Linked DNA regions of Nothobranchius furzeri. The protein of the gene in region 2 interacts with the protein of the main gene of each other region in a pairwise test. Links are inferred from orthologs where the notes say so. Each region holds a gene or a part of one and is shown on either strand. Other genes may lie near its edges.

The links.
Region 1: the proteins of pinx1 (region 2) and aida interact in binary tests that used the Homo sapiens proteins (3 or more experiments, as listed by UniProt). The link is inferred for Nothobranchius furzeri from reciprocal best matches to the Homo sapiens genes PINX1 and AIDA.

The regions. Positions count from the first base shown.
Region 1 is NC_091742.1:8,353,793-8,363,521, reverse strand, and holds aida (axin interactor, dorsalization-associated protein), read left to right. Parts: upstream 1-4,053; 5' UTR 4,054-4,191; coding exon 4,192-4,298; intron 4,299-4,920; coding exon 4,921-4,987; intron 4,988-5,068; coding exon 5,069-5,122; intron 5,123-5,633; coding exon 5,634-5,688; intron 5,689-5,754; coding exon 5,755-5,818; intron 5,819-5,998; coding exon 5,999-6,102; intron 6,103-6,229; coding exon 6,230-6,238; intron 6,239-6,359; coding exon 6,360-6,482; intron 6,483-6,572; coding exon 6,573-6,695; intron 6,696-7,863; coding exon 7,864-7,981; intron 7,982-8,060; coding exon 8,061-8,160; 3' UTR 8,161-8,328; downstream 8,329-9,729. Other genes in the region: E3 ubiquitin-protein ligase rnf8, read right to left, coding at 870-1,074, 1,161-1,268, 1,344-1,433, 1,569-1,631, 2,062-2,269, 2,478-2,920, 3,064-3,192, 3,359-3,481. UniProt on the Homo sapiens protein: Acts as a ventralizing factor during embryogenesis. Inhibits axin-mediated JNK activation by binding axin and disrupting axin homodimerization. This in turn antagonizes a Wnt/beta-catenin-independent dorsalization pathway activated by AXIN/JNK-signaling.
Region 2 is NC_091742.1:1,141,989-1,151,508, reverse strand, and holds the start of pinx1 (PIN2/TERF1-interacting telomerase inhibitor 1), read right to left. Parts: upstream 5,154-9,520; 5' UTR 5,062-5,153; coding exon 5,043-5,061; intron 4,672-5,042; coding exon 4,562-4,671; intron 1,056-4,561; coding exon 954-1,055; intron 789-953; coding exon 707-788; intron 430-706; coding exon 340-429; intron 1-339. UniProt on the Homo sapiens protein: Microtubule-binding protein essential for faithful chromosome segregation. Mediates TRF1 and TERT accumulation in nucleolus and enhances TRF1 binding to telomeres. Inhibits telomerase activity. May inhibit cell proliferation and act as tumor suppressor.

The DNA.
Region 1 (9,729 bases), about 7.2 Mb from region 2:
TATGCTGGAGCTACCACCAGGGACAAGAAGGAGCTGCAGCGTGTTGTGCGTTCTGCTGAGAAGGTCATTGGCTGCAAACTCTCCTCCATACAGGACCTGAACACCTCCAGGATGTTGAGGCATGCAGGTCGGTAACAGCTGACCCGACTCGCTCCCATCTGGCAGGAGGACCAGAACCTCTCGACACAAGAACAGTTTCTTCCCTTCTGCAGTTGGTCTCAAGAACGACAATCCTAGGGCTGCCCACTCCAGTCGCTTGGTTTCAGTCACATGACCCTGTGTTGTTTGTACCTGAACTGATCCGCTCTGATCAGTACCTACACTGTCTTGTATATAGTAGCCGTTTCTCTAATTATTGCCAGTTTATATTATTATTTTATCAAGATTATATTCTTACCTCCTATATTTACTTATCTCTTATTTTTATTGTTCTTTTTGCACCAAGTACCGCAGCAATTTCCTAATGTTTTGATTTCTCGCACATACGGCAATAAAACCCTTCTGATTCTGAAGCCCGAAGGAGTTCTGCCATGTGGTGATGTAGCTAATGCTAATGGTTAGCTTCTACTAGCTAACATGTTCTCTGCTGTTTCCTGGAAGCTAAACCAACAACAGACTTGTTGCTGGCCTAGCAAGGCGCCTTGACATTGAGAAGCACCCTGCATGAAAAACTCGAGAGTGACGGATTATAATCAGAAATAAGATATATATATATATATATATATATATATATATATATATATATATATATATATAAACAATGTCTGTAAGGGTTAAAGAAACGTTCCAACAGAATAAATGAGTGAAGATCAAAGATGGATGATTCATTTCTATGAGTTTGGCGTGGATGATGAGAACACACCTCTCACCTTTCCTTTCAGTGATGAGCGTCTGCCGCCGGGCCTTCATGTCCAGGCTCAGGTTCTCCACCATACGGTTGATGCAGTTGTCCAGGGCCAGACACCGGGTCTGGGACTCGATAGCCTGTCTACAGATGGGACACTCGTTTTTCTTCTTGCGCCACAACTTGATGCAGTAACAGCAGAAGCTGTGAGCACAGTTCAGGATGACCGCCTGTACAGGGACATTTTTTTTTAATTTCAGCAGGTGAAGTCGGGTTTTTGTGAGTAAGATGATCCCAAACAGGTTCCTGGCTCTACCTCGATGAAGAGCTCTGAGCAGATGATGCACTGGAGCTCGTTCTCCAGAACCTCTGTGACTTGTGTTACTACCTCCTCCTTTTGGGCTTTCGCCTTTTCTTTTTCCTCCTGGAGGAAAAAAAATATGAATCAAAGTGACAACCAAGGTAAAAATGTGTGTTTTAAAAAGTGTCTTTCAGGCACCTTTGTTTCTTCTAGTTCTTTGTTTTTCGCAGAGAGGATTTCTTCAAATGTTTTTCGAGAGTCGGCAAGCTCGTCGATCACTTTCTTTTGCTGTTTGTTGAAAAAACAGGCACAAAAAAACTTTTTATTACATTTAATCAAAAACTTAAAGAAATAAACTAAAAAACTGTTAGTTTAAATTAAATGTGTTAACAGCTTTTAATTAGTTTAATTGAACCTTCTTACTTCCTGAAGAGCCTCTTCAAGTTGTTTTTTCATTAGCTCCTCTTGCTGCTGTGTTTTCTGCTCCTAAACGCATAAAAGACAGACGATTCACTTAAATTGAAACTTTATTTTTATGGACATATATATTTTTCTAATTGTAAATGCAGATGAACCTTTTGATTCACATATGTCAGAACAAGAAGGGTGAGGAACGTGTTACTTTCCATATGTGGCGCTTTTGTTTGAAACCCCAAAAAAGATGCTCAATATTAATATGCTCTGGAATATTAATATCGATATGGAATATGATGCAGAAATGTAGCTCTTTAACAGGTTTTGTTATGTTTAAGATCTTTTTTTTGCAACGTTACCAAGATTATTTAAAGTATGGCTGAATCATTTTGAAATGTGGAGAATTAAAAGTTAAACTAACGCTGTAAAATAAAGCAATTGCGGGTTGGGGGAATGAAAATGTAACGATGTTTCAAAAAGAAAAAAAAACAACACTCCTGACCTCCAACTGTCTCCTTGTTTTACTGAAGGTTCTCTCTAAAGTCTTCATTTGACACATTTTGGCTCTAAGGGTTTCCAGTTGACCCTGCAGCTCACGGACCTGCTCCCGTCGGAGAGGATCTGCCCGCCTGGGTTCTCCTCCAAGAGATGATACCTGCTTCTGGGTGTCATCCACCTGCTCCCGTAACAGCAGGAGATTCTGGCTGTACCTGCAGGTTATACATTAATATTTACAACTTTTACACAACAGAACATCAGAATGGACAACTCCTAAAGAGTATTATTTTCATTAAAAGTAGAGAGGAGTCTGTTTGAATATGTGACACATAATTCAGCAAATGTATTAAATAAAAGCTTGTAAAGGAGCAGTGTCTTTGGTTTGATTGAGAACCTTTTTTACGAGGAGTCACACTTTACCTCTGCAGGTTGTCCACTTCACAAGGATCACTGGATCCATCAGAGTGCTGCTCTTGTTTTTGTGTGCTGGATGCCGTCTCCTCCAGGTGTGTGTTACTGAGCCGCTGCTGGCATTTCACCGCAGACAGAGGACAGGGTTTTGCAAAAGATTTCCCTTCTGAATCGCAGCGGTACAGCTTAGGCTTTGATGTAGAAGGCTCGACTTCCTCCACAGTCAACTTCCTTTTGGATTTTTTGGAGACTTGCGGCTCTTTAGCCCAAGTTCTACATGCCTTTGCCAGGTACGGCTGAATGTTTCTGAGCAGTCGCCGGATGAGGATGTAATCAAATTCTACTTTGGTTCCTGATAAAGGAACTCCAAGTCGGATCGAGTCTCCAAGTTTGAGCAGGTAAGGTTCATCGGCAGAAATCCGATTTCCGTTCACCCAGACACCATTGAGACTCTGTGGAAGATAATTAATAATAATAATAATAATAATAACTTATTTACTAAGATTTAACTTGGTATTAGCTGCTGCTGTTAATAATAGCCCCATCATCTGTTAGAGATCAATTTTAGGAGAGTTAGCTCAAGAAATAAGGCTACCTTTTTGTCTACCACTGTCCAGTGACCGTCTTCTATCTGTCTGAAGGCACAGTGCAGTCTGGAGATCATGAGAGGACTACTTGAAGACAGCAGCTGGTAGGTGACATCCAAACCACGTCCAACAGTGATCTGAGCAGTCAAAAACAAACGTCAATTTACAGTTTTTCCATATAAACAGGGTCCACTACGCCGTTAGAAAAAACTTAATGAATAAAATGGCATGCCTATTGTATGTATACATAGCACAATCCTGAAAATGATTTTTTTTAGTTAAGCTAACATTAGCAAACTGTACCTCTGCCTTTTCGAACAAACGAAGCCAGTCTGATTTTTTTCCGACTCTCATCAGACACAAGACCTCCGAGTCCGAACATTCACCGTCCTCAGCCGAACATGAATCCGCCGTTGCACTATCCATGTTAAGCCATTCTGTCACAGGCCAAACACTCCGCTGTTGTTGTGTCTTATATGTATATGTCGATGTGTGTCTTCCGTCACATAACTGCTACATGCTAACGCGGTAGCGATCCGGGAGACACCGGAAAACGGTACAATTCATTTCGAAATAAAAGCGACGGGAAACTGCTAAAATAAATATCAATGTTTTATTTATTATTTCTTGTATAACGGCACGTATCACGTGTTGTAAATCTTTTGAACAAGGCAAAATAAATAAAAAAGTATGAATAGAATAGGTTTCTGGGATACGTTACTCTTTATTTATTGACATTTTTAAACATGAAAGTAACGTTAAAAAGTAAATGCTAGTATTTTGGATGATAAATATTTTAATATATTAAATATATTTTTGCTTTATGAAGTTTAAATTTTTTTTAAAGCAATGAATTTTTTTTATCGAAAATTCAAATTAGAGCACTTTGTTGTTGTGATTTGTTCTCAGTCAGGCAACCCAGCACCCTAAAACGAGTGCACCTAACCCCGGGGCGGGACTTCCTGTCTGCACCGGAAGTCCCAGTGTTGAACAGGCAGAAAGGGCTTGGTCCGTGTGTCACCGGTCTTATCCGCGTATGTCTGGACGGGAGATAACCAGGCTGCCGAAGCTGCGTAAATAAATCTCCACCTCGGCTATGCTGCCCTGAGAGCGCCGCGAGTATCCGCCCCGCCAAAATGTCTGATGTCAACAAGACTATTCAGAAATGGCACGCCAGTTTCAAGAAAGGCACAGACTTTGACTCGTGGGGACAATTGGTAGAGGCTATAGACGAGTACCAAATGTGAGTTACATTCAACATGTGTGTCTTATTTTTGTACGATTGAGTGTAAACATCTGGAACAGCGAGGACGGCTTGTTTAGCTTTTTATTTTTTTGCTGTCTTAAAGCTTGTCAGCTCTTAAACCTGCAGAAGTTAGCCTCGGAGCTGTCAGTCAGCCCCCACAGCAGTAAATAAACCCTTCCCATCCATGACGTGATGTGGCATTGTTGCAGAGGCAGCGGAGTCCCATCCCATCTTCATTCACAGAGGGGAGAAGAACAAAAAGAAACACCCAAAGCTGAATGTCTTGTTTCTGAGCGTTAGGAGAAGAGAATAACCAATATTCCTTAGAGTGTTGGGAAACAGTCAGCCACACCCTCTCATTGTTATGGGTGGGTTTCGTGTGTTCAGTGAGGAAAGCTCTCTTGTTCTCTGAGGAGATCAGACTCCGCAAGTTATTTCAGGATGTGATCATGTTTATGTAATAATTCATTTTAATGACACGTTTTAGATTTCTTTAGTGCAGATAGATGACTTGACAGTGTCCCACGTTGACCAAAAGGGGGCGCAGAACAGCCCACTGATGTGACAAATCGTCTTGGAATTGATTGATTAACCCATCTAACTGTTCTCGTTAATCCAGATTAGCAAGGCAGCTGCAGAAAGAGGTCCAAAATTCAAATTCATCAGATTTCACAGAAGAGCAGAAGGTAATAATTGCATCAGTCTGCAGGCTAAACTCGCCTGCTTTGCTTCAAATCACAGCATCTTGTTTCTTTCTGGACATTCAGAAAACCTTAGGAAAGATTGCAACATGCCTGGAGATGAGAAGTGCCAGTTTGCAGGTTTGTGTTCTTACTTATTTCTCTTTTTGTATGATAGTGGACAACCAGACTTAGATGTGTTTTGTTGTTACTGTGAACTTTTGTTGTTATTGTGCACTTTTCTGGCTTTAGCGTCATTATTTTCAATATTTGTATGGCAGTTTGTCAGTTTTGCATCATGTTTTGTTCTCCTTTTGCAGCAGTTTGTGGTAATTTTATTTCCTGTCTGAGTTTTTGTGTTTGAGGTTTGTAGATTTATGGATTTTTTTTTCATCTTCATTGCTTTGTGATACAATTCTAGTTGTTTTTTCACACTTTCCCGTTTATGTTGCAGTATTTGATATATTTATTTTAATATAAAGACCCTTTCCAACTAAAAAAATAAAAAAAAGCACAAAGGGTGATTAAAATCCTTCAAAACTTAATTTCTGAGCATGTGGCGATCATATTCATGTATTTATTACCAAAGTAAGACATGAACGTAAATCTTTCTCTTGAGTTCTGATCTTTTCCTGTCTGTGTGTCTCCTCAGTGCACACAATCACAAGAAGAGTTCAAGTTAGAAGACCTGAAGAAACTGGAAACCAGTAGGTTTACAGCTACTCATTTTGCAGGAGTTGTCGTTAACGTTCTAACCATCCTGTTTCTTCCAGTAATAAAGAACATCCTCAGCCATAACAAAGAGTTTCCCTTCGACGTCCAGCCAGTGCCATTAAGGTAACATTTATCTTAAAGCTTCAGAGTTAAAAAAAAGGGTTAAATATTTACAGGGGAGTGTGTTGCTATGGATACAGAGGGAAAAAAAGAGAGCATATTTATTGATATAAAGGAAACGGAAAAAACAGCTTTTCCAATGATTTCAGTCGGGTGATGCGACAGGTCTTTTCTCTCCATCAGGAAAATCCTGGCTCCAGGTGAGGAGGAGGACCTGGATCTGGAGGAGGAGGAGGATGCACCTGCAGGAGCCGGTTCTACCGAAGCGTTCCCACCTAGAGCTCCCGGTACTCTCGCTGCTCGATCTCGTGTGTTGTGTCTCAAAACGTCCGTTTGACCGTGCATGTTTCTGTTCTCTCTGTCGGCGCTGTGCTGCATGGCTTCTTCGTTCATCTCTGCCTGCTTCCTCTGCAGCTTCTCAAGGTACAGATTTGTGTGAACACGAGTCCTGATTTTGTCAGGATCACGCTGTGGGTTGTAAAGCTTCTTTCAACAATCTCAGATACAATAAAAAAACACTGAAAACACTAACTTATCTGTTTAGGTACTCTGTTGCCACGGTTACCTTCAGAACCTGGGATGACACTACTTACTCTAAAGATAGAGAAGATTGGGTTGAAGGATGCTGGACAGTGCATCGATCCCTACGTCACCGTCAGTGTCAAGGGTACTGCATCCTGCTGGACTTCGGTTTCGGTCCGTTTAGTAAAAACAGTAAAAAAAAGAAATGGGATTGTTTTTGCATTCTGTCCTCCAGATGTGAACGGTGTGGACTTGAACCCGGCTCAGGACACGCCTGTGGCCACCAGAAAGGAGGACACCTACATTCACTTTAGCGTCGACGTGGAGATCCAGAGACACATAGAGAAATTACCAAAAGGTAAGCGCAGGCGCTAGTCGGGCAGAATGAAATCCGTTCAAATAAAACAGGAAATGGTTCCGCCTCTGCTCAGCAGCGGCATAGAGCCCTGAAAAATCAAAGCAAGGCAGCTGCTTCCTTCATTTATCTAGAAAATAGATGGTGATCCTTTCATTTAAGTGGCAAAAAGTTTTCACAGAGTCCCTTGAGGTGGTACTTTATCTGTGTGCACTCAGTAAAAGTTCCAGATATCCAGGTGGGACCACACACATCATATACATGGATACCCTGTGAGCTGGTGTAACAGCCGGTCGCCATCTTGAATGGGTCTCCGTTCGCCCCCAGTGCATTTATTTTTACTGAGGAATGTGTTTACACAAAAACACATTTTATGTCTTTTCACAAAACCAAACACATTGTATAGTTAAAAATATCACATAAATTGGGCTAGAAAAGTTAATAGTAATCCCACCTGTTCTGTTTTCAATAGTACGCCGGTTGTTACAACCGCTGGCTGCAAAAAAAAAAAATCGGGCATTGTTGCTAACTGCATTGACTCCAATTGGGTTTGGAGAGTGAAGAACCCACTCAATATGGCGGCCACACTGTTACACTCTTACTCACAATGGGGTGTTTATGTATACATGCCTATGGGTGGGACCTCTCTCCGGGGAACATTCGCGTTCTCCTTGTGCGTGTGTTGGTGTTTCCTCAGGTGCGTCAGTATAAAAAACAAAAACAAATCCAGACTTCTTTACTTCCTTGTCGTGAGCGCTTCATCAATGCGAGCTAGTGCTCAGATCCCTTCTGAGGGTTTTTGACGTCTTGATCTACGTGTAGAACATTCTGGTTGCGTTCCTGAAGGTGTAGCTTCCTGTGAAACTGACCGGGGATCAGATTTAGAGCTGCATGGTTAGTTTTGGCGAGTTGAAACCGAAGACAACCTCCTTAATGTTTTGACAAAGATGTTTTTTTATTTTTAAAGAAAGTAAAGAAGTCCAGTCACTCTAGGATCACCACGCCCTGGACGACTAAAACCTTCACCTGCAAGTTTGCAGGCGAACGTTTTCGATTCAAACTCAAACGCAAAGATCTTTGTGGGTTTGGTTCAAACTTTTTTCTCTGCATCAACCTGTTTCTGTAGCTTCTGCCGGTTTTCCACCAATCTATTTTTCACGGATTCTTCCAGGAGCGGCTATCTTCTTTGAGTTCAAGCACTACAAGCCCAAAAAGAGGTTCACCAGCACAAAGTGTTTCGCCTTCATGGAAATGGACGAGATCAAACCGGGACCGATCGTGATCGAGCTGTGAGCATTTCTCAAAGTGATTCGAAAAAGAAAGTAAATAAAATACGAAATAAAATTCTTATTCTTGTTTGGATTTCAGGTACAAGAAGCCGACGGATTTTAAGAGGAAGAAACTGCAGCTACTCACGAAGAAACCACTTTATCTCCACCTTCATCAGACACTACACAAGGACAACTGACTCCTCATCAGCAATACCAAATCCAGGTGGTGGTGTTTTCCACGAGTATGTGAACAAAATAACACTAACTGATCTGGATGTTCCTCACATGCAGCTCAGTAAAACCTTATAAACGCTGTTTTATTTTATATTTTAACAACTTGTAGCACATTAAAGCCGTCAAAACCACCTCATGTTCAGTCTTCCACCTTTAGATCCGATTTTTCTTTTTTAGGGACACTGGTGAGTTTTAGTTTGACTTTGCATAACTGGACTCTGGACTTTAAACCAAAAACCAGCCAAACATTAACCCCTTAGTTGCCATTTGAGAGGGAATAACCAATATTTGCACTTTTATTACAAACGAAGGAGATTTGTTTAAAATGACCCATCTTAATTGTTTGAGGCGCTGATGCCATTCAGCTGAATTTTTTTAATTAACCTTAGGATTTGTGGAAGCTAAGGGGTTAATGTCAGAGCCAGAAGTGTCCTAAACTGTTGATTTAAACGCAAACATCAAGCATTTGTCATAAAGTTCACCATATGTTCAAATTGATTGCCTCACAATGGCTTTGAATCATGAATTAACAGATTTTTAACTGGAATTCAGGTGTAACAACAGTTCATGAATGTATTTTTGTGCACATTTAACATCTTTGTATTGTTTTGCTTTAACATCTTTAGTAACATTTCTGTAGTGGCTTTAATTTATCAACAAATCTTTTTTTTATGTAAATTTGGAGGAAAAAATGAACCCATCTGCTCATTTTAACGTCATCACATCTTTTTTTTATTAAAACATTTTAGCACTAAATAATGGGATATAAATGAAGCCATCTTTTTGTTTAATTTTTTCAAACAACCATAAATACAAATGTATCACTAAACAATTCCCGCCAAACTAGTTTTTACTGGTTATAAGTTTGAATCACGTTTTTATATGTTCGTATACTGTATGTGTGTTTAATTGAGTTGTACTACATGTATTATAGTACCTTAAATCATTTTAAAGTATTTAATACTCAGCAAATGTTTCATAAATAAAATAAATGCCCTGCGAGGACTTTAATGTTCTAATTCAGTATTAAAGCTTTACGTCCTTTGAGAGAAGAAAATAAATACTGGATGGTTTCTGTTTTAATAAAATAATCAGAACAGCAGTTCATGTTGGATCTGCTGCAACTTTTCAGACGGTTTATCTCAGACCTGTGATCAGAAAGTTGCATTAATCTTTACCAGAGCAGAAATGTTCAGAACAAAGCTTTTATTGTGAAAGGTCAGGGCTGTTGATGTGACGTCAGATCGGCTTTTTAGATATAATTTTTCTAACTTAAAAAAAACCCGTGGATGTCGGATTTTTTTTTTACTGATTTAAAATTAACCCACACAATTTAAAAATTAACCCACACATTTGTTTTTAACTTCTAATAAATTAAGATAGTGAATTTTACATGTAATCCATGCAGCATTATGCACTTTTAAACTTCCCAATAATAGTCACGCCCATCTACTTCCGGACCATGGGTCCTCGGAAAAAGATAAATTGAATGAAAGGCGCTATCCTGTTCGTTATGACAGATTTAACAAACG
Region 2 (9,520 bases):
AACCTCCCTGAGCACTCACCGGGTCAACTGACCCAGCACAGAATGACAGAACTCTGATCAGCGTCTGTGGTCTGAGGCGAGGGCACAGGGCTCACTTATGGGTCAAGAGCTCCGTCTGCATGGGTGCGTGCTGAAGGTGCTCATGGGCAGAAACACACACACAACTCAAATCATTGTTAGAAACACAACTACTCATCCTGAATCAGTCCCTGGTTTTTAGAAATCTTTTGACGACTGAATTTCCCGTTGCACTGATTAAGTGGTTTATTTAGTTTTTATAGGACGTTTGTCATTTCTAGACCATTACTTCCAACTACAGACGTTAGAAAACACACCCACCTTTGGTGAACTTCATGTAATGGACTCTCTTTTTGGAGGTTTTGGATTTCTCCTCGAGGCTGAAACCTTTCTTCTCCTCTGACGGGGTTTCTACAGAGAAGAAGCCAAAATCAAAACCAGCATTAACTACTTGTTTAAGTATGTGTGTGTTCTATTTAGAACATGGAAATAATGATTGGTTGGGCATATGCTTTACAAAACGTTGAACTGTAGCACCCTCTGCTGTCCAACAACTCTTAGTAAGTAAAACCATGTGAACCACTTTGAGTCTAACGAAAACATTTTTAAGTTAGTAGAGTGGAGCACAGCTGAGCTGAAACACACCCGACAGATTCAGAAAACTAACTCAGTGTAAACTGGTACATACCATCTGTGGTGTTTTGACCATGGTGACCGTTCAGCTGAGCAAGAAGATCATTGAATTCATCTTGGTGAGCAATCCAGTTGTCCTGCAAACGTAAACGATCTCAGCAACACAAAAAGGAAAATAACTATAGGACAAGATTTTTATTTTCCTGTTATTTTGCAGAAGTATCCAAAAGACCTAAAAGCCAAACAGGAATCAAATGATAAATATATTTTTTACTTCGATATAAATAAACTTGTCTCTTAACTGTAGTCACCTCGTAACTGGCGTTGGCTCCAAACCCATAGCTGTCATTTTTAACCTTTACTTTGATGTGGTCGGTGGAGCCTTGCTCACTCCTCCCCAGACCCTGAAGATACAGAGAAAAAGGGTTTTCTGACATGATTTCATGTGAGTGAGTTATTTACTTTATTGGGTAACGCAAATTCATATGAAACATTAGAGTCAGACCTTCCATTTTTTTTGTTTTACATAGATTTTACATATTTTATTGGCAGACTGAGACATCCAAAATGTAAAACAGAATCCTACCGGAGGTCATTCATCCTCTCTGCAGTAAGAGTGTATAACTCCTAAGTAGGGCTGGGCAATATGACGGTTTTAGACCGTTTTACGATCTACACATCTGACGGTCTGTCATTTTTGAGAGACCTTTTTTTCACGATTCACAGCTCTGTTGTTGAATTTCTGCCTCTGAATGAAACGGGAACTTACCTCAGGTGAATGACACGCCTTTGTTTGACCCTTAACCAATCAGAGTGAGTCATAGTAATATATTAATGCCCCGCTTGTTTTCACCTGTGTGTGAACAAACATGGCTTCGGCCGCGGCTGAGAGCGACAACGAGGTTTTCGTTCCAAAGAGGAACGCCTCGTCCATTATATGGAACTGGGTTGGTTTTTCACCAGATGACAAAGAGCAGCGAAACGTCATTTACAAGGAGAGCATCAAGGCAAGTGATGGCAACACCACAAACTTGTTTAATCACTTGAAAAGAAGGCATCCCAAACAATACAATGACAGCCAGCTGGCAACTAAAGCTAAAAAGCCTGCGGCAGCAGCGGCTAGTGCTTCTTCCTGGCAGCAAACGCTAACAGAAACACAGAACTCATTCCTTACGAGAGAGACAGCAGACGATGAAACAGCGTGACCGATGCAGTGACGTACCACTTGGTTAAAGATTTGTGTCCCGTGCGAACAGTAGGAGTGGGATTTAAGAAAATGATAAAAACATTGGATCCGCGCTACGAGTTTTCCAGCCGCAAGTATTTTTCGAACACCGCCATTCCACGCATGTACGCTGAATGCAAAGTGAGAGTTGCAGAAAATATTCAGAATGCGCAGTTTTTTGCTACCACAAGGTCCAGCCGCACATCAGAGACGTATTTGAGCTTAACTATCCACTACATGAGCAGCTGGGAGCTACATAGTATTTTGAACAAGTTAATGTTTGCACAATACATTTGCAATTGACATGTTTGCACTTTAAATATGTTTACGATTTTAATTTATGTTAAGTTACTTGAAAAACGAGAAAAACTGATTTTTGTAATTGTTTCTCTCAGGGCTTTTATCATCTCTGGTGTGAGTTTAAAATATAAGTATGTTAGCACTGTGCTGATTATCCCTAATATGAATAAATGTTTATTTATTCAACGTTTCTCTTCTTTAATACGCAATTGAAGTTATGCTGTTGTAACCCAGGTTTCAGGATAGTTTTAATTATATTAATATAGTTTGTAGTTGTTTAAAAATAAATTAAACAAATAAAAAAACTTATATTACAGAAATGTTACTTTTATTGATCAGACTTTTAAGACATCAGACTTTTATTTTTGTAAACGGATGTTGTGCGAGCCATGTGATTGGCAACAGCCAACCGGATCGCTCGGTTGCTTAGTCGCAGCTAAGCGAGGGAGATGAGCAGCAACACCCAGAACTACTGCAGCACGCAGAGCTACCGCAGCGAGAGAGAAGGAGAGCTGAAGAGTTAAAAGAAATTGCCTAAGGCGAATTTTCCTTTTGTGACCAAAAATACAGCAAGAAACGTTTTTGATGTTCCAATCTGTTCCAGTTGGAGACGTTTTGTAAAGTTGTGAAAAGGACTTGGTGAGTTAAAAGAAATGTATAATTTTAGTTAAGCAAAGATGTGTAATGTAACTATTATTTCATGTAAATGTGGCGCTAAAGTAGTGACTGGGTGAAATGGGGAAGCATGTTATGGTGAGTGCTGGAGGGAGAAGGGCTGTTAATGTAACGGCCGGCGGTTGCCGTTTTCTGTCCGTTTTGAAGGAGCTGCATATTCATCGGCACAAATGAGACAGAAGCTGGGTTTTATTTCAGCACTACCTGGTGCCTCATTTTATTCATGTATGCATATTTTGTTATGCTAGGCCTTTTAGTGTGGGTCGGAAAACAACCTCCTAAACTCGACCGCGGGAACCACGTGAAGAGCTAAGATGGCGGGCCACCCATGGATTCGCGAGCTGAGCCGTAGTCGCCAGCAGACCTCCCTCTGCTGAATCAGCCCTGGACTTCACCAACATTGGATAGGTCTTCCAAACACTGGTGGGAGTTGCTTTATTTCTTGTTTCAGGAAGGCACTGAACTCAATAAGAGCCGAACTGTTCTTCAGAATCACCGACAAGGAGACTAGAGACTGTGAACTGCACATGTGTTCAGCCTTTTGCTGGATTATTTTGGTTGTGTAAAGTTTTTTTTTGGTTGGTTTTACTTGATTGTGGGAACTTGAATACGGGTAAAAGGGTAAATCTTTTTCTATGCAAGGTTACTTCCATGAAAGGGTTATACCTGCGAAAAAATTTATTAACGTGGGTCAAAGAGAACTAAGGTTTTGCTGGAACCATAGAGCTGAATTTGATGGTTTATTCTAATTGAGTGAACTTAAAAAGGGGACAAATAGAAAAAACCAGATAACGTGAACTAGAGTCTATTGAAAGGTTGCAACCTATCCCAAATTAGAATTAAGTGTTAAATCCCAAAATACGGGTTTTAAAAGAAAAAAAACCACTTAACCCATTTAATTCCAAAAATCTTAACAAGGGGTCACCAAATGTAAATTTGTGTTGTGTGTTTATTGTTCGTGTATAGTCTACTTACTATTACAAATAATAAGCCGGCAGTTTAATTCTGGTCTGTGGTCTCTTTCTTCTTTTAATTTTACTCAAATCCTAAATTTGCTCCAGTAGTCGAACCTACCTCATCCATACTGGTCCAACCCTTAGTTCAAATAACTATTTCCCCTGTAATCGCCTACACAGGAGTGTTACACTATTCATGGATAAAAAATCGTGATAAAATCAAAATCGTGATATTCTATTTTTGCCATATCGCCCAGCCCTACTCCTAAGTTTAAATGGTCCTGGCATTATCCTGTTACACAATAACATCAATGCAATCTTATGTGTTCAACAGTGATGGAGACACCGAAGCTTTCCAAACCAGGCTTTCTGCTATGTGTATTTGGCCGTGGCATGCACGGTTACAGGTGAAATGTACGATTTACCTGCCTCATACATTTGAGTTCCCTCTGAGTCCCAAGGCAGCTGTGGCTACATTGTAGCTCATCAAAATCAGTGAGTGGATGCGTGTGTGAATGGCTGAATGATACGCTGTAGTGTAAAGCGCTTTGGAGTCCTCTGACTTGAAACAATAAATTATGTGTAATATTACTGTAGCTTTTGGTTTTGTCAGCACATAATTTACAGTTCAGAGTCAAATTAAACCACTCTTAAGGCTGAGTTCTCAGTGAGCAACACTATTTGCAAACTGCAATATTCTGAAAGTTAAGATACACTAATGTACAGGAAAAAAACAAGCGTTCATCAGACGTACTTTGCCCTTGGACCAGCCCATTCGCTCCAGCATTTTCTGACCGAATTTCGAGTCGTCATTACTCCAGGCGCTGTTCCTGGGATCGACTGACCACTTCTGTTTCCTGCGGGCTAAAACAATGCAACAGCATTATATGAAACTACAGCACCATGTTTACAAGCAAGAGAATTGATGAGCAAACACGCAATTAAATACAACAATAATTCAGTCACGAACAATGCATTAGATCATAAATGACCTGAAGACGAGTCACAAAAACTCGGATTTAAGGCCGACACGCGCTACCGTCACTAACCGCTGACAAGCTAATGCTAACTACCCAGATACTTATAAGAAACTTGACATAAAAACAAGATACGCTAGCGTAATAATGCAACGTATTTGTTTGTGGGCTTTTACAGCGATATATTATATAATAAATTATTTGTAACACAAAGAAACAACGAAACATTTAACACATTTGTGAGGAAACGCTACTCACGTTCAGCGAGCATGGACATCCTGGGGTCCTTGCTCAAGTCAACGCAAACAATGAGGATTCTTGAATAATGCCTGAACACAATGCTGTTACAAGCTGTTCTTTTATTATTTATATCTTATTATTACGCCAGTATTACGCTTCAAGCACTATCACGTGACCACAATCGATATTGAAAATAAAAAATAAAAAGTATGCGTGAGTACTTTTTTGTTTTGTCAGAATTTAGTAATTACTGCCAAAGCACCCATTATTTTCTCCAATAGAGGGAGCACCAACCTAAGGGTTCGCACTTAGGCACGAACGTGTAATGACTTTTAGAATAAATGCAAATACTCCCATAAGTAATCATTCTAATTTTTAACAACTATGATTTATTATGTGTATTTGAAGTGAATGTGGACTGACTTGTTACAAATGAGCTGCTGATTTCGATCTGTTGGATACCAATCAATAAAGTTGTCTGACTGATGAAGTAATAACTATTTCCAAATAGTGTCAAATTCATGGGAAAGAAAAAAATCTAAATTCTTCTTGGAAGTGAGAAAGGCAGTGATGTGTCAAAATCCAGCATTGGAATGACTCAGATAACATTGCTGCAACAATCTTGAAATATTTGGTAATAGCCCAAAACAGGCTCTTGGTTCTTTTGAAAATCTGTAAAAACTAATAAGTCGGTGCACATCCACAGATTGAACCAACACATCATTTTAGTACTGGATATGATGAAATTGATCACACGACGCGAGTCAGTTCTGTTCTGGAGATTGGGCCATTTTTTCAATATTTACAGACCAATGTCTAGACTGTGTTCTGGCGAAGGTTAAAGATTTCTTAGACACAAATGGTATTTTGGCACCATATCTGTCAAGCAGGCTTTCACAAATAGCACAGCACCACTTCTGTTAAAGGTAGTTAAAGATATAACTGTGGCTCAGACCGTAAAAAGTACAGTTGCAGTATTCATTGACCTATCTAGCTCTTTTTCTTCCTTCTACCTGCACAAAATGTGTACCCCAGGGCTCCATACTTGCACGCTTTTCATCAATAACGTTTTGTTTCAATTGTTGCTCTTCACTGGTATACTGATGACATTGCTATTTACTTATTCACCATTATTTAAACTCTGGACTTTCTAAACGCAGCATTTGGGGTAGTGCAGCGTAAATTTAGTACTGAATGGTGTGATATCCAAATGCAACCAAAGGGTTAAAATGAAGGCTACTGGACTCCTTTGGTTTCTTGAAGACATTTCACTTCTCGCCTGAGGAGCTTTTTCAATTCCAACTGGGAGAGTCAAGCTTAAAAGTTGTAGCTGCCTATTGTTATTTAACGAGCTGAAACTACTCTGAGTACCCCGCCTCTCCATCCCCAGATGAGTCATTGGCCTCTATTGAGAGAGAGTCATTATGCTGATTAGATGCAGGAAGGTGTGACCTAGACTGTAACTGCTTAGGAATGAGATTTAAAGCTGTATTATAGGCAGAGGTGTGACCAAGTCACTGCTTTGCAAGTCACAAGAAAGTCACAAGTCTTTCCAGTCAAGTCTCGAGTCAAGTCCAAGTAAAAGACAACCAAGTCCAAGTCGAGTCCAAAGTCAATGATGTGAAAGTCCAAGTTCTTAACTTTGAATTTTCAAGTCATAATCAAGTCATCTGTCCAACTTCAGTTTAATGACGATGATAATAAATAAATTCCAGAAATAAAGCTTCTTAAAGTTTCATTTATTTGCTGAAACAAGCAGAAATAACTGAAACTGATTATAAACAAAGAGCTGCTGCAGTTAGCAGAACAAGATCAAACCCAGAACGAAGAATGATTTATGATTTTTGTTCATGTCATGCAATTTTTGTGCTAAAATATCAAATATGCTCAAGTTATCATCAAGTCAACAGATGCAAGTCGATTCAAGTCGCAAGTCATTGGTGTTCAAGTCCGAGTCATAAGTCTTTATAGATTTTATCAAGTCAAGTCAGAAGTCATTAAAATAATGACTCAAGTCCAAGTCATGTGACTCGAGTCCACACCTCTGAATATAGGTACTGGAAAGGTGAAATCTAAGCTCCCACTCCTATTTCAAGAGCCAATAATGCATTTAATTTGAATAATCTTTTGAAGGAAGATTACAAATTTGAATGAATGAATGAATGAATGAATGAATGAATGTGTGGGAGCCATTTTAACTGAAGGTGTAGTTATTGGTTTTTACACTAGATGGAGGCAAACCCACTGAACTTTTGAACAAGTCACTGTCTCCATCTCTTTAATCATGGTGCACATGGGCACAGGTGTGTTGGATGGAGACAGGGGCAAACAGTTTTGGGCCGTGCTGAAGCAGGTTAGATTATGTTGGAGCTTACAGAAAGAATTGATTGACTATGGGAACAAATGTCAGATGGAGCTGTAAGAAAATAAAAGAACAACATTTTATTTCACCCCACGCGTCAACTGGTCTGTCCTCTTCCATCACCTGTGGTGGATGGGTTTCGTTTGGAGAAACTTTGGCCCCACAGAATGAATGAATGAATGAATGAATGAATGAATTGATTTCTTTCAGTGATTTTAAAACACGTTAATGAGCATGAGAAGACGACTCTGTGCGACTGTAACTGCTTTGCTGACGGAATCATCCCGACTCGTTGGGTTTAAAGATTTGTACCGGTGGATTGCTTTTATCTGTCATTGTAACAAGTCACTGCGTTTAATTCTCTGTATGGTCCATTGGATGACTCGTGATACAGACCCTTAAAATACCCTGATGCGAAGTTTTTTTTGTTTTGTTGCCAAGCTATCTGCTGTTTTTACTGCCATTCTTTGTGATGCCTTTTTTTATTCTTGAATATTAACACCACTGAGTTAAGTGGCTTCATAAATGACAAACATGTTGTCAGGGTAGTTTCTTGTAGAGCCCTGCACTGAAGGCCTAGGCCCTCGGGCCGGGCCGGACACGGGCTCAGATTTTAGGCCCGTGCAGGGCTCTAGTTTCTTGGTCCAAAGTAAACAGCTGCATTGAACGTCAGAGTTGCTCTTATGTAACTGACAACCACAGAAACAGAAGCCAACTTACAGTAAGGGAGTGGCGTAACCGGTTTGTTGCCTAAGTCTCACTGATAGCTGTAATACGATGGTTGAAACAGCATTTTTAAAATTCGGAACTGTGACTAAGTTTTAGACAGTTTATAAATCACTTATGGTTCCAGTAGCTTTGGAGTCCGTATTATGAGCTGCTTTGTTTCCGTATGAATGTAGACAAACACTTTTGGTCTTTAAGTTACGTAGTAAATCATTTGTTGAATGACTCAAACCTTTATTTACAATAAAAGCTCAGTCTTCCCTTGAGGACAATTGTGGACAATTTTGGTGCGCTCAAAGCAGGAAGCGGATGTATTTAATGCTGAATTCTTTCAGAGATTGTAAAGAAGAACTGTGTTCTGCAGAAAGGAACTGGCTGACTCTCATCACTTGGTTTTGTTGCCTGAAGTAAAAGAAAACAACACTCTCATGGATGGAAAATATTTCATTATGTAATGTTTTAATTAAATGTCACATCAAACAAATATTTAAATATTGTGGCATTTTTTCATAAAGCAGCATATTTTTCTGTTGTAGTGCATCATAACTGTTTCAAGATCCATTTTTACTATTTTAACTCCCGCCCTGCCCTGAATACATGAGTACTATAACTTAAACAGCAGTTTAAACCTTTATTATATCACCTTCTTTCAAGTTTGCACGTAACCAAGTATTCCCTTTCCCATTGGCTGTTCCAACACCAGATCCCACTTTTAGGTATTTCTTAGCTGAATTGTGTGAAACCCTAATCTGATGTCCGCCTGTCGATCTCCCGATCCCTCCTACCCTCACTCGTGAACAAGACCCCGAGATACTTAAACTCCTCCACTTGAGGTAGGACCTCTCCCCCGACCCGGAGGTGGCAAGCCACCCTTTTCCGGTCGAGAACCATGGTCTCAGATTTGGAGGTGCTGATCCTCATCCCAGCCGCTTCACATTCGGCCGCGAACCTACCCAGCAAGAGCTGAAGGTCAGAGCTGGATGAAGCTAGGAGGACCACATCATCCGCAAAAAGCAGAGACGAGATTCTCCTGCCACCAAACTCGACACACTCCACACCACGGCTGCGTCTAGAAATTCTGTCCATAAAAGTGATGAACAGAACCGGTGACAAAGGGCAGCCCTGGCGGAGTCCAACCCTCACTGGGAACAGGTCCGACTTACTACCGGCTATGCGGACCAAACTCACGCTCCTCTGGTAAAGGGACTGAATGGCCCTTAACAGAAAGCCACCCACCCCATACTCCTGGAGCGTCCCCCACAGGGTGCCCCTGGGGACACGGTCATAAGCCTTCTCCAAATCCACAAAACACATGTGGATTGGTTGGGCAAACTCCCATGCCCCCTCCATCACCCTTGCAAGGGTATAGAGCTGGTCCACAGTTCCACGGCCAGGACGAAAACCACAT